Linked DNA regions of Struthio camelus. The protein of the gene in region 1 purifies or fractionates together with the protein of each later gene. This does not show direct contact. Links are inferred from orthologs where the notes say so. Each region holds a gene or a part of one and is shown on either strand. Other genes may lie near its edges.

Evidence for each region. The genes of interacting proteins can lie anywhere in the genome.
Region 2: the proteins of CBX3 (region 1) and CCDC71L purify together in Homo sapiens (affinity purification with mass spectrometry; 3 studies listed by BioGRID and IntAct, with this or other methods). This does not show direct contact. The link is inferred for Struthio camelus from reciprocal best matches to the Homo sapiens genes CBX3 and CCDC71L.

Annotation. Positions count from the first base shown.
Region 1 is NC_090943.1:38,642,215-38,649,755, reverse strand, and holds the start of CBX3 (chromobox protein homolog 3), read right to left. Parts: upstream 3,022-7,541; 5' UTR 2,604-3,021; exon of another isoform or gene 2,511-2,603; intron 1,983-2,510; coding exon of another isoform or gene 1,953-1,982; exon of another isoform or gene 1,850-1,952; intron 1,840-1,849; exon of another isoform or gene 1,566-1,839; intron 448-1,565; exon of another isoform or gene 310-447; intron 1-309. Other genes in the region: HNRNPA2B1 (heterogeneous nuclear ribonucleoproteins A2/B1), read left to right, coding at 1,953-1,982, 7,348-7,458.
Region 2 is NC_090942.1:15,913,796-15,921,005, forward strand, and holds CCDC71L (coiled-coil domain-containing protein 71L), read right to left. Parts: upstream 2,342-7,210; 5' UTR 2,176-2,341; coding exon 1,315-2,175; 3' UTR 516-1,314; downstream 1-515.

The DNA of each region.
Region 1 (7,541 bases):
ATCCCAATACAAGCATGGTCCTTGTTCCAACCCCCATGTATTCACTGCACATAACACTCCTAATACGGATTAAATCCAGAACAAAAAGTAGGTTACTACTTTGTCCAGCGTAACCCAGTAACACACCGTTATGCTAGCCAGGATACACGATACCGACAAAGTCGTATATAGAGTTGAAAAAAGGTTTTCCCAAGGCCTTCTAAGGCTCAGAGATGTTTCTAGGGAAAAGGGGGAGGACCATCAGGGATGCATATTTCCTTAAACCCAAGAGAAGAAGAGTAGAGATTCTAGCAGTTAATCAAGATATACCTAGATGTATTAACTGCGAATCTGGTGGGGAGCAGCTACATATCTGCAGTGTAATAAGGAGTCACCCATTACTCTTACATAGTAGTAAATGCTTATCAACAGCCAAACGTTATCTTAATGCAACTATAACGTTGCCTTCTGATTTTCAAGTTTGCAAGAGTTAAGGTTCCTATAGCAATACTAACTCAGCAGCTAAGCTGTACATACTATGTATGTAACCTAAGCAAATGATGTTGAACGCGATCCATCCCCTTTTCCACGTCGTTTCTCATACTGGCCACCTCTGTAGGCATGTATTATCCCCGCCTGACTGCAAACTATAGAGCTGTTACAATTTTGCATTTGCCCGGGCAAGGCAAGAGAAGTCCTTCTCCAAGGCCAGAAAGCCTCCTCGGCTCTGCGATCCCGCCCAACTCGCCTCTTATGTGAGAGGGGGGTTTTGGCAGCCCCAAAGGCGGTGGGGTGGGTGAGGTGGGAGGGCAGGGATCAGGGCCCCGGCGCGGTGGGCCATGCCATGTCTCCGTCTGAAAGGCAAGGGAGAGGGGAGAAGCAGCAATTCCCCCCGCCCCCCACCCGAAAATAAAACGGAATAACCCCCGGGAGGCCTGGGGGCGGTGGGGGGGGCAGCGCAGCGGCTCAGGCCTGCGGCGGGCGCAGGCGAGGCGGCCGGGGCCGAGCTAACGGGACTAAGGCGGGCCGGCCCGGGGGAGGGGGGCGAGGGCCGCGGGAGCCGCCCGCCCGCCCGCAGCGCCCTCGCCGCGGGGCCGGGGCCCCCTCGCCGCCCGCCTCCCCCGCCCCCAGCGCCGCCACGTTTCCCCCGGGCCCCGCACGCCGCCGCCCGGAGCCTGGCGCCTGAAGGCGGCGCGGCCGGCCCAGGCCGCCCCCTCGGCGCTGGCGGGCGCGCTTTGTCTGGCGAGCGCGGGGGCCGCCGCCGCCCCCTCATCCCCCCCGCCCCGCCAGCCGAGGGGCCTCCGTGGAAATGCCAGGGCCCCACGAAGCCCCGCTCCTTCCGTTACCCCCCGCCGCCAAGGAAGCGGCAGCGCTCGGCTGAGGGCGGCGGGGGGGGGGGGGAAGGGGGGCGAGGCGGGCTGCCCCCCGCCTTTCCCGCCGTGGCCTTGAGGCGAGGGCCGCGGTGCAGGAGCGCTCCGCGGGGCGCCCGCTCCCCCGTGGCGGGAAGGGGGGGGAGGAGGAGGAGGAGGCGGCGGGGGGGGGGAAGGTTATCGAAGCGAGAGAAAGAGGGAGAGAGAGAAGGATACAGACTTCAATGGTGCTCAAGCCGCTCGGGTTTCCCGTCTCCTCCTCGCTCTCGCCCTGCGCGCACTGAGCAGCGGCGGCAACAGCGACATCTGAGGGGGGTTGAGGCGGGCGAGGGGGGGGTGGGGGAGGGGAAGGGGGAGGGCGGGGCGGCAGCGGCTGGGCGGCAGCGCGGCGCGGCGCGGCGCAGGGCGGGAGGCGGCGGCTGCTGGCGGGGCTGGGCTGGGCGAGCTCTGCGTGCCGGCGACTGACGGGGCAGAGCGCACGACGCCGCCTACGCGCGAGCTGCAACCTCCTCCCGTCGTCGCCGCCAGTACAGGAGGGGGGCCAAGACGTCTCTCCAACGGGGGGCGAGTGCAGGACCGCGTCAAGCGTCCAAAAGAAGGAAGATGCCTCGCGGCGACAGAGAAAGCGACTGGGTGAGCGGGAAGTGGCGGGAGGGGGAAACGGGCCCGGCGGGCCGGTAGCCGCCGCCGCCGCCATGATGATCATCGCCATGAGGGCGTGCTGGGTCGGGGCGGCCGCCGCCCGCCGCAGGGCGAGCGAGGCCTTCAGTCCGTGCGGGGGGGCGCCTGGGGCGATCCCCAGGTGCGGGGAAGGCGGGCAGGGAGCGTTTGAGCGGCTTTGAAGTTCGTTTTGCCGTTGCTGAGGCGGGCCCGGGCCGTTTGGAGCGCGGCCATTTCCCGCGTTGCGGCGAGGCGGCCTAGTCTTGAGCGAGCGCCAGGGAGGGGGGAGGGGAGGGAGGAAAGCGGGAGTTGGAAAGCGGTTGGGGGCCTAGAAAGCCCTTTATTAAGTGGGGGAAACGGGTCCGAGTCAGTTTAGGGTGCTTCGCTCCGGGAGAGGGGTCGCTTCCCGGGGAGCTGGGAGGAGGGGGAGGAGAAGAGGGGGCGGGAAGAAAGGAGCAGCCCTAGCGCCATTTCCCTGGTGCGCGGGGCGGCGGCACTCACCCTTTGTCGCGGTGTGTGCGGGGCCGGTGAAGAGAGAAAAAGGGAGGGAAAGAAAGGAGGAAGGAGAAATAAATGTCTAAGTGAGTGGCTTGCCCGATGGGTTTTCTGTCCGTGTTGCGGGGTAGAGCGGAGCAGGCTGCGGCGAAGTCCGCCTCCCTTCGCTGGCTCTCGGCCCCCGGCGATGTCTCGGTGCTGGCGCCAAAATCTGGGCAGCTATCACTTCCTCCTACCCGGGCGGAGGGGGAAGGGGCCAACCCGCCGACAAAAAGGGGAGATGTCGGGGGCGCGCGTAGGCACCGCGCTGTGCTCCCGCCCGGGCCCTGCCAGTACCACAGGTGGCCGGGGGGGGGGAGTAAAGGTGGGGGGGGGGAACGAGCCCTTTGGCTAATTATAACCCCCTTGCTTTGAGGTTGAGTCTTCGGGGCGGTTCGGCAATTTCCGGAAAAAAAAAAAAAAACCACCCACGACGCGGTGCCAAGTCTGGTCGGGGCCGTTTCGGCTCCGCTCGGGCACGTATTAGAAAGCTCTTCCGTTGTCGGAAACTGCCGAAGGCGCTGTATCGTCGATGGCTGCTGCGTCTTTCTCTCCGGAAATTGCCGAGTGGGATCGGATCGCCATTCTTGTCCGTTTCGGCAAATTCCGGAAATAGCCGAAGCGAATCGAATGGGCTTCCTTTCCTATTTCGGCTTTTTCCGGCGACTGTCGAAGTGGATAAGCTCGACGACGACAGCTCCTTCGGCTCATTCCGGAGACAGCCATTACTAACGGAGTTGATGACTTTTTATTACGTGATTAAAACACATAGGGGCGTTATACAGAACTGTTGCCCCTTTGGAGATATTTAAGCTCCAGATTCGAGCTTTTTGACTAAAACATCGGCAGCGAGTCTGGGCTGGAGAAGGAGGGCGCTAGCACTACGTGGAGCTGAATTTCAAATTACGTAACAGTTAAGGCAGCCATTACTGAGCAGTTGTGCGGTATTCTCAAGCAGGGATACGTAAACCATGAAGAATATGGTATGTGAAAAGGGAAAAATACAGATTCGGCTGTTAGGGAGGGTGGCGTGTCTGGTTGTGGAGATGGAGTGCTTTTTCAGGATCGGGGGGTTAGGAGCAGAGTCGTCCTCGGGCAGCGTAGGTCTGGGTGCTGCTGCCGACCCCCGTTAGCGGCGGCGCGGCTAGCGGCTAGGTGCCTCTCCGCAGAGGAAGCGTTAGCAGGGAGGAAGGTTCTGGAAGCGGCGGTTGGGGCTGGTGCGCACTCGAGAGGGGAGGCGGAAGCTGCGGTAGCTGTGCGTGCGGGTACGAATTCTTAAATCTCCCGACATGTCCTTTAGCTGAGCTGCCGTTAGGGTGGTGCTGCGGGGAAGGGAGAGGGGGACACACACCACTATGGAGGTCAGTTAATGCGCGATCCGGGACTCTACTTTGCCCTGCGGGACGCTGAGCGGCCGGGGTGGCGCTGCTGATAATGGCGGTAACGAGGGGGAGGGGTAAAATGGCGGCGCCGAGACTCGCTCGTGCGTGAGGCTTTCAGGATGAGACCTAGGAGGGGAAAGGGGGTAGGGAGGGAGAGCAGTAGAGGCTGAGAGCCAGGCTGCCGTTGTTATCTTTATGGGAACAGAAAGCAATCGCTTGCAAGCTCTCCCTGGTAAGGCGTGTGTAGCCGGACGCTAGAAGCGGTTTGCAGCGACTGATTTGTGTTTTTCCTGAAGGCCCGAGTGTAACTTAGCTTCTTTATTCTGGCGTCGGTTCTTTGTGAATTTCTTTCCTTCCCGCCGCATCGCTTTCCCTGGAGGCAACGGTTGCTTCTGGGCGCCATTTTCCTCATCTAACTGCGGGGGCCCTTGTTTTCCTGATAGCCGCCACATGGCGGAGCCGGCATGGCAGCCGCTTCACTCCTGATAATACCGGGCTGCGGGGGAAGGGGGAGGACGTAGACTGATGGATCGGAAAGCCATGTAAGAGGTGTTAGGGGCTAACGGGGCGCGACTGCATAGCGAGTGGTTGGAAGTGTCTTTCTGGTTTGGGGCCAGTAAATCTGGGGAAGTGTAATCGCTTGGCAGTTTCCATTTTGGCGGGCAGTGCCAGCTCAGAGATTCCACTTACCTGTTTTGTTAACCGTTTTTGTTACTCGGATTCTTAACTCTGCAGAAGTCTGCAGTCAGCTTGGAGTATTTGTACCCATGCTGTTATGACACGAAACGCACTTACTTGGTCTGGTGATGGATTTTCCAGTGTAGGCTTCATGTTTTCCAGTCCTTTGAAGTGTTGCTTTTAGCCTGTGAAGGAAGGCTTAAAATAAGCCCTAAGGAAGATTTACAGATTTCCAAAAGATTTTCTCTCACAGTTTGTTACTGCGGTAGAATGCACTCTGGAAGTCTTTAAAGGAGTTTTTTTATTCTGTCTTTTATATTAGCTTGCTACCAAATGAGGGTTTTCATGAAGATTCTGAGTGGGACTGGAAGGATAATAGCTTATATCATATGTTTCACAGCTTCAACGTGAACCGTGTAAAAGATTATCAGAGCTCTCTGGATCTTGGTCGTAGGTTAATTCTAGATAGGAATTTGAGCCTCTTAAACAACATTTAATGCAAATAGACTATGTTCAGAGGCTCTGCCTGTATTAGTGGAACAGCATGTTTATGATGTTTTCACACAGTGGTTTTGATTCAAGAAGTGATAGGGTTTTTTTTATTGCTATGTCCTGACATGTATGCGGTGCCTAGATGTTGGTTTTGGGTAGGGCACATGCTGTATGACACTAATACACAGGAGATGATGAATGTGAGAATTCTTAAGAATGCAAGAGTGTTTCATTTTTCTGTTTTATGTTTTTTAGTAATGTATGATACATGTTTGTCCTTTAATAATCAAACCAACTTTTTATGGCTCGTAGCGTTCTTTGCTTGAGTTTCGTTTAAATTTCTGTCGCTGTTTTCACAGATAAACGTTTATGAGAAATATCAGTATGCCTACTGAATTTGCCTGAATTTGCGTATTTCTGTCCTAGTTGCATTATTAGACATGTGGTAATTGATTATACAGGGAGAAGTGTTCTTTTCTGGTCGTGTGAAACTGTAGCAAGTACTTCAGCTCTGCTGCTAGAAAATTAGAGACTAATGTGAAGAGAGAGGTTTTTTTGCAGTATCATTACTTTAAATGATTTCTTAGCTTACTTGGGTTCTTAAATAATAGTATGCATGCCTTGCCACATGTGACTTACCAAATGAGGTATGCACCACCCCTTATTCCATTTAAGAGCTCATAGGAAAGAAACGGTAACGTGGGTTTACCCCTTTTAAGTTATGTTGTGACAAATTTTGCCCATCTGCACAATGAGAAGGTAGCTTCCTTTGTGTTTCTTAGAAAATACTTGGAACCCGCTATAGGATCTAGCGTTTCTGAGTGACACTGAAATTGATTGTTCTCAAATGCAGCATTTATATCAAAATTGTTTTTATGATTGTTGACTTGTTTCTCAGACTGAATGCAGTATCTTCAGCTGGTGATAGTGATCTCTTTTTTTTTTTTTTTTAATCAAAACTGATTCAGTATTGCTTCTAATAATGGTCTTCCTTGTTAATTGATTCTAGATGCTATCTGCTCTGGACAAGCTCAGAAAGCATATTTTGGCCTGCAGGATGATTGGCTAACACTTTTCAAAGTATCTGCACTAGGCTTTTTTGTTTGTTTTCCAAATCTCATTATTTTTCATTGGTTTTCTAATATCCTTTTTGCATTTCTCCTATTGCACAGTGCATAATTAGTTATGGTGTGTTGCTTAGTTGTAGCGAATGGTGGCGTGCTGGAGGTGTTTAAAAAAAAAAAAAAAAAAAAGGTGTTCCTGATTTTAAAATGACTTATCATTATAAGGGTGAAATAGTCATTGTATTCGAACTCTTATTTGGCAGGAGACCTGGCAGGACAGTTATATCTCTTTAGAGCAAGAGTCTGATGTCTTTTAAAGTTTGTGAAATAGGACTATTGTTTGTGTGCGGTTGTTTTTCTTTTTTTTTTTTTTTTTTTAAACCATTGCTGTTTGACGTAGAAAACTACAGAGTGCCTAATCTAGTGACACACTGTCATACAGAAAATGATCTTTTTGATGCCTTACTATATTTTCTTTTTTTTTTTTTTTTTTTTTCAATTGATGGAGGTTGGGAGATTGTTTCTTTCTGCTTTGGTGTATACTGTATGCAAAATAATAGATGTAAAGCCTACTTTATTCTAGTTCCAATGGTGCCCGATCCCAGACCTAGATTAATTTTGCAAATACTCTAGTTTTATACATTTTAAAGAGTTAATAAAGGGAAAATGAATCAATGACCTGTTGTAAAAGGTCTAAAGCTATCTCTTTGTTTTTTAATGTCTTGGGAAAATAGTATGGTTGTATTCATGTGCAGCAAGTTGAGGCAGAACATTTTTTAAAAATATATGCTATCTGGAATAGAATCATACAGTATGAACGGGTTGGTGTTACCTGTAATGAGAACGTTTTGTTAGTTCGCAGCATTGTTTTTCCTGGCACAACCTGAAAAAGCTTCTGATAAGACCTTTGGGAGGATTCCTCTTCTGGGAGTATTTAAATGTAGTCTCTTTTTTAATGTTTGGAGGGAGAGATGGGAAAAGTACATTGTTAAAATCTATATCATAGAATTGCACAAGTTGCTTAATTTCTGGAATAGAAGTCAAACATTGTAGAACCGCCTAATCTTATCTTGAAAAATGCTTTCTACGGAAAGTTTTTAACTCTTAAGAAAATCTCACTGACTGTCTAATTGTGCAGTAGGGGAAATGCTGTAAATTGTATTAATGTAAACTTCTTTTCTGTGATAGAGGGAAAAGGAGCAGTTTCGCAAACTGTTCATTGGTGGCTTAAGCTTTGAAACAACAGAAGAAAGCTTGAGGAACTACTATGAACAATGGGGGAAGCTTACAGATTGTGTGGTAAGTTGGGCATACCAATTCATATAATGATGATATCATACGTTTAGAAAGGATTAAAAATAGATTTTTGTTTCCTGAACAGT
Region 2 (7,210 bases), on another chromosome or scaffold:
CACACACCAACTGCAAGGTGCAAGATCAAAACAAAGCCCTTAAAAAGACAGTTTGAACAAAGATTGCTTACCCCTTAGAGTGACAATGTTATTTTTCAGTCGAAATAACTAAGCTGATGAAGCTAGCATCAGAGGCTACAGTGAAATCCAAGAGAAGTTTACATAAAATATTTATGTGCAAGTAATTACATTAATATGATTATCCACCATGAGTCACCTAGTAACCCAAGATGACAACCAGTGCTGTTTCGTTATGAAGTCTTGCCCCTTTTTGCAGAGATAGGCACTTCAGTGTGATATTCGGGTCGTGTGAACTACAGCCTTTTTGCTGTGACAACATCATATGATAGCATGCCTTAAGACACCTATGTATTGCTTTGATGAGCAGATACATTCTTCACCACCTCTGAGCTTGTTCACTGGAAACACCCAGTTGTGTCTTCGTTAAGTGACATACATGGTGTAGTTCACCAGCAAACCCATGCCTGTGCAGTCAGCTTCACTGAACTGAAACATCACTTTTCTTTGACTTTTATTAAGTTCACTTCGGTTGACCAAATGAGCTTCCCTAAAGTAAACAGGGTTATAAAATATCAAGATGATTCTATCTTTAGGTGCTCAATAGAAACAAATACTCAGTTCAACTAGAAAACTTTAAAAATGACTTTAGATACAAAAGTGTAACAATTATACTGCGCAATACATCTTTATATATCACTAAGCCCATGAAATTAAAAAAAAAAGTTTTTGCACCATCAAGAACTGCCACAAGTCCTGAACCTCCATTCTTTATGCATCCTTAATCAGAGTAAACTGAAACTCGGGAATGCTTGGGATTCAAAATACCCTGAGCACATACTAGTGCAACACCACAAAGCATACATAATCCATTGGATGGGGGGGGGGGGGGGGGGAAGAAAAGGAAAGGAGGGGAAGGGGAAAAAAAAAGGAAGAATCAGATGGTGCTTTATTATACAAGCATGAAAGTAAGTTCCTTTGGAAAATAACTTCTTGGGTGGACTTCTGGACCAGTGAGGTAGCCCAATGGGAGGAAAAAAGGTGGAAGTGGAACTTGGTCCCCACGCGAGACGCCGGCCGGACAGTCCCTCGCGTCTGGCCGCGCCCCGGCGGCGGCGAGGCCAGAGCCGCCGGGCTGCGGCGGGGCCCGGTGCCCCGGCCCGAGCGAGGCATAAAGTGCAGCAGAAGAACATGATCCAGACAAAAGCAATGTAAACAGGTGACTGATACCGGTCTCTTTGTCCGCACCGCGGCGAAGGTGAGGCGCCGTCCTCGCCCCCTCCCGGCCCCGCGGCCTCAGGACGGCGCCAGCGGGAAGCGGCGGACCCGCACCACGGGCGACAGGTCCACGCCGAGGACCCGCTGCGCCCGGCGCCGCGCCGCCGCCAGGCTCCGCCGGCTCCACACGCTGCCCCGCACGCGGATGGTGGGGAAGGTGGTGAGGCGGGGGGTGGCCGCCTCCCAGATCTCCTCCAGCGACTTGCCGCCGAAGGGCTCCCAGGCGGCGCCCTCCGCCGCGCCCGCCCGCTCGCTGTCCTCCTCGCCCGGCGGCCCCGCCGCCACCGCCGCCGCCGCTTCCTCCCCGTCGCGGGCCGGCTCCGCGGCCGCGTCGGCGGCGCGCTGCCTCCCCCGTGCCCTCCTCCGGCGCCGCCGCCGCCGCCGCCGCTTGGCGCTGCCGCCCGCCGCCACGGCCCGGCGCTTGGCGTCGGCGGCCGGCAGGCGCCGCTTGCCGGCGCGGCGGCGCGGCCGCTCGGCCGAGGGCGGCGGCGGCTCGGGGACGACGGCGCGGCAGGAGGCGTAGCCGTAGACGTCCTTGCTGCGCAGGATGACCGGGGAGAACTCGTGCTTGAGGCTGCAGAGGAAGTTCCACAGCTCCGAGTCGGAGCTCATGAACTCCGTGGACTTGGGCATGAAGAGCTTGAGGGCGTCGCCCAGCGCCTTGGTGCCGGCGAAGGAGACCTGCGAGCGCGAGTACACAACTTTCTCCGCCTCCCCGTCCAGCCCCCAAGCGGCGGGCGCCGCTCCGCCGCCGTCACCGGCTGCTGCTGCTGCTGCTGCCCCCGCCGCCGCCGCCGCGGCTCCCGCGGCGCTCCCCGCTTCTTGCTTCATCTTCCCGGCTCCTCTCTCCAGCGCCGCCTGCTTCCTGCTGCGGGTCATGGAGGCGGAGGGAAGGAGGGGAAACAAGGCAGAGCACAAGCCGTCGCTCGCAACCCGCCGCCGCGGCCGGGCGCCCGCCGCCGCCGCCTGGCCTCGCCCGCCGCCTCAGCGCCGGGTGGGGAGCGACGATCGATATCCTACCGCCCGGCACAAAATGGCGCTTTAAAGTCCCAGGCGGAGACTGCGCGGCGGCCCGCCCTCCCTCGGCGCCCGGCGGTTGGCCCGTTTGAAACTGCGTCAGGCGGCCGAGCCCCGCCCCCTCGCCCGGGGCTGGCCATTGGGAGCGCGGCGGGAGCCCCCCCGGGAGGCCGCTGTGGAGGGAGCGAGGGGGCTGCTGGGAGCTTCCTGCCCGGCGGTGATGGGGCAGGGCCCGGGCTGGGGCCTGGGCTGGGGCCGCCCGGGGGCATGCGGGGGCCAAGGACGCACGCGGCGTCTCGCTGCGCCTCGCCTCCACGTCCCCCGTGGGGTGTCCCGTGTGCTGGCCTTCCTTTTGGCTCGGGGGCGCCCGCCATGCTGTGCCCGCTCTGGCAGCGGGCCGACGGGCCTCCCGCCACCTCCCATCCCACACCTCCTCACAGTGCGAGGTTCCTCACGGGGCAAAAGCGGCAGCCAGAGAAATTGTTTTCTGAAAGTATATTTGAGTAAGGATTTAGTTAGATGCTTCCAAGGGCAAGCTGTCCCAGAAGAAAGGGAGCAAAGGCTTAGTGTCTCGTTGGAAGCAACAAAAAGATTTTGTGACACACACAATATGGGGAAGTCCACCATATAATACTAAATGCATCCACTCTCTTGCTGCAGGGTTTTTTTTAACATGATCCTCAAAGTCAACGGCATGATCAAGACACTGAAATAGTCACCATCGTCCTTGTGATTGGTTTCCTATGCCAAGAAAGCAGACTGGTAATGAAGTCTGAAAAACTCAGCCTTGGCATTGTTGAGTCTTAAATGAGATAGTCTCCTGAGCCGCCGGCTTGCTGAGTTCACAGCACCGTTCCTTCCTGCGTGGCGTTCCTGTGCTGGTAGCTTTCTAGTACAATTCAATCAGCTGTCACAAAATCGCATGTCTTTCTGAGACTGTACTCTCCAATAATTTAGAGATTGCTACCACTAGGGAGAGTGCCTTAACTTCGTCGACTTTCTAGATTGTTTCAGCTAAACCACAGCTCTTTCCAGCTCCCAAAACAGCAAAACGTCAGAAAAAAGAGCAGAGGAGGCTTAACGGTCCCTACAATTGGCAGATGTGTGAAGAACAGAATCCTGCTCTGGGCTGGATTAGATTCCTACTTAGCACTTTCACCTTCTTTGGTGAAGGGCAAAGAATAACATTATTTCCCCTCATAGACAGTCTTTGTTCTGTATTTAATCTTTCAGTTTAGAATAGGGAAATCTTTTATTCTCAATTCATCAAGAACCTAAATTGGAACGTCTAGAAAAGCAGTCAAATACAAGGAAGAAATTATGCATAAGAAATGATTGCCAATGGAAATAACTGCATTTTCTTCACAGTCTAATTTGGCTTGTGTTCATGGGAAGCGCGGGGAAATCAGTCCAAATAACCATTTGCAGCCGAATATTAACAGAACCACCTTAAATCTTTATGGGGACATTCTCCAGCTGCAGCTGTATTCTGAACCAGCTTTATAAAATTATCCGTTCTTAGAAAACACCTTTTCCCAAAACTGTGACGTCAGTAGATTTTTTTTAATGAGATTCATTTTGTAGCCTATTTCAGAGCACAGTTATCCAAACACTCGGATCAGTATAGCTGAGAAGAATAAGAACATGTAGCTGGAAGTGTTCAGACCAGGCACCTCTTGATCCAGCTCTGTTGCAGTTAATCGCACTCTTGTGTACGAATGCCCGCCCATTCAAAGCCACTGCGTAACCACAGCTGAGCAAGTGGCTCATCACCTGCTGAACCGTGATAACTGACGTGCTAATGTTCTTTGTGGCGGAAGGTCATACACGATCAGATTCAGCAGCTCATTAATGAGTGGGAATTCATTAAACTTCAGAAACCCCTATCATTGGCCATAACCTTTTTCCTCAAGTTACAGACATTTCTGGCATGTGACTAGAAAATCATTGAGGTAGAGGATAGGGAATTTTCAGCAAGCAGTAAATGAGTCACCCTAGGTACAAGTTAAAAGACAGATTAGTACATTTTTGTCTTAATCAGCATGTATTAATAACTTTAACTTTTTTGCTTCTAGCATGGGCAAAAACCATGGAAAATGATCTCAGTTTTACAAATCCATTATGAGTTTTCTACACTGTAACCACTCTCCTTACAAAGTCATCTCAGGAAAATGCATGGTAATTGGCTATCTTTCAATAATTTACAATATCTCAGTACAGTCTTAAGGATGATAATAAAATTAATAATCCTTTGCCAAGTACCCAGCTCTTCATTGTAGTCATACTACTGCTTATAAGCATTAATTATCACTCACAGCACTCTTGAATTATGTAAGTAAATATTGCCTCTCTAACAGATGAATAAAATGGAAGAATTAATTAAAATGGTTTGACTAAGATGTATGGACTCAGTGATTTAATTTTCCGTAGATCTTCTTAAATTCTAACAATCATCATTCTAGAAATGCAGTGAATATTCACACTGAAACAGAAGAAAAAAGTCTAGTAATATTTGCTCACATATCTTAGAAACCTTTTCTCTATAGAGCTGTTGAGAACAGCGGATGAAGTATCACTTGGCAAATTACTTAATGGCCATTTTATCTTCTTAAATAATTTCTACTTAACACAAATAACCACTGGTAACTGCTAAAAAATGTTATCTGTAAAACTTTACGTATGATCACACGGAGTTTTGAGTACAGCTGATAAACCCTGAAATCCTGGATATCAAGTCACCCAACTGCTGCTGCTGGGGCTTTTCCTCTAGTGCAGAATTTACATGGATGCTCTGCTACCCAGATTAGCAAAGGCAGTCTTTTACTGTGCAACACCTTTACAAAAAATCATTCTTTTCAGATACCTTTAGCTCTGCTGTGGAGAGGTTAAATTGACTAGAAGCCTGCTTCAGGCATTTTGCTTCCTAAACGCATTTCAGAAATAACATCTTTCCTCAAAGCCATAGCCTCAAGAAAGCTTTTGTGACAATACAAGCATGGCTCCACATACATTTACCGCCACACACATTCAGGTGTTCCCCCATGCAGTCATCAGGTTCCTGGGTCTGAGAAGTGCCTAGACAAGCCACAGCAAAGTTCCTGAAAACACATTCAAGGACAGACAAAAGCAAATGATTTGCAAGAACAGTCTCTAAATCAGTTTTGCAGAAAAAAATCTTGGAATCATTGTATATTTTTAGGAAAATGTCAATACAGTGGCAATCGGAAGGGAAATAAAATGTTAGGAATTGCTATGGAAGAAATAGAAAGCAAAACAGAAAACAGTATTCTGCTGAATTTAAGTCCATTGTGCCTCCACAAATCTTGAAGACTGTGTTTCTAGTCCTACCGTCTCTAAAAGGATATAGTTAATGATACAAACAAGGGCAACTAGGATTAGCAGCAATATAGAATGGCTTCTCTATGAAGAGAGATTAAATAGACTAAGACTCCTGAGCTTGGAAAACAGATGGCTGAGGAAGAATATGATAAGGGTCTATAAAACTGTGATAGTAAAAGCAGGCAGATAAGAAATGATTATGGCTTAGTTCTCATAATCCCAGAATGAAAGGGAAGCACATGAAGTTACAGGGCAGAAATTTTTTTGCTCTCCAGCAAAGTTGTGGGTGTCAGAGTGGAATAGTGTACCCCCAAAACATCAGATGAGTTCACTAAGAAGGGGATACAGATGTTATGGAGCATTCAGTGTGATTAGACAGAAGTGAAAGAAAAGAATCCATCAAGTTCATTAAGGGCTATTGAGCAAGAAAACCAAGCCTAATACCGTGGGCTCAGAAAGTCCCAAAGCCAAGTGTTAGGAGTGGAAGGAAGAACACATCAGTGGAGATAACCCTTAATATCTGCACCATTCTTATACTCTTTCCCTAAACTTCCTTTTCTGGCCTCTAACGTAGAAAGAACGCTGGACTTGAGGGGCCCTGGATCTAGCTGTCAGGGCTGGTCCTACTCCGCAATCCTAGTAGAAGACAGACTAGGGCAACTACCACAATAAAATGTAATGTTTTTTCTAGAGCTTTACTGTTGCAACAGCTTGCAACAGCTGGAAGAACATGTCCTAGAACTAAAAAGCAATGAAGTATTTGCTGAGAACACGGTGCAGAGGTTATAGACTCCATCCAGCGCCAGGACCCCAACTTGGGCAGCAGCCCAGCAAGGATGGACACTGAGATAAAGTGTATTCCACTGGTTCTGATTATTGCATGTTCATCTTCCTCTTTGTTCATAGCCTTAGTACACCCTCCTGCAAGTGATGACTGACCATGTGCAAAGAGGGGAAAAAAAAAGATATTTTAAAATAAGCATTTTAATAGCATTAATGAATGCTATTAATGTTTGGAAGAGAAAAAAATCTCAAATATATTTTAGCAGAAGCCTTTGATACATTCAAAAAACCCCTCAAGTAACAGTAAACAAGAAAATATATGAAGAAGCATGCTCTGTGATACAGAAAGCACTCTTTGAAGATATTTTAGTAGAAGCTGTATATCATTTGTTTCCACATTCTGGTAAGTAATGTGCATGTGATGCACATAACTATATAAACTGTGTATCACTTATATCATCATTGTCCTGTCATTAGTGAATGCTGAGGATAGCTGTACAGGTGGTCACTGCAGTTTTTAGAGCTGATAATGATCTCTTGGTCTAAAACGTTAAGTCTTTGGCTGATATATCAAAAGTGAAAATTCTTTTCTTGCTAAGCCTGTTTTTATTTCATCTTCCTTTTCTCTTATTCCCTTCAATCCACCTAAGTCATCTGCTTAACCATTCATGTTGGTTTTGACTACATTATACTCTGAAATTTTCTATCTTTACTACCCCTAAAGTAGTTCATCTGATGTTAACTTTACTGTAGACAAGGTAGCAGTATTTTAACC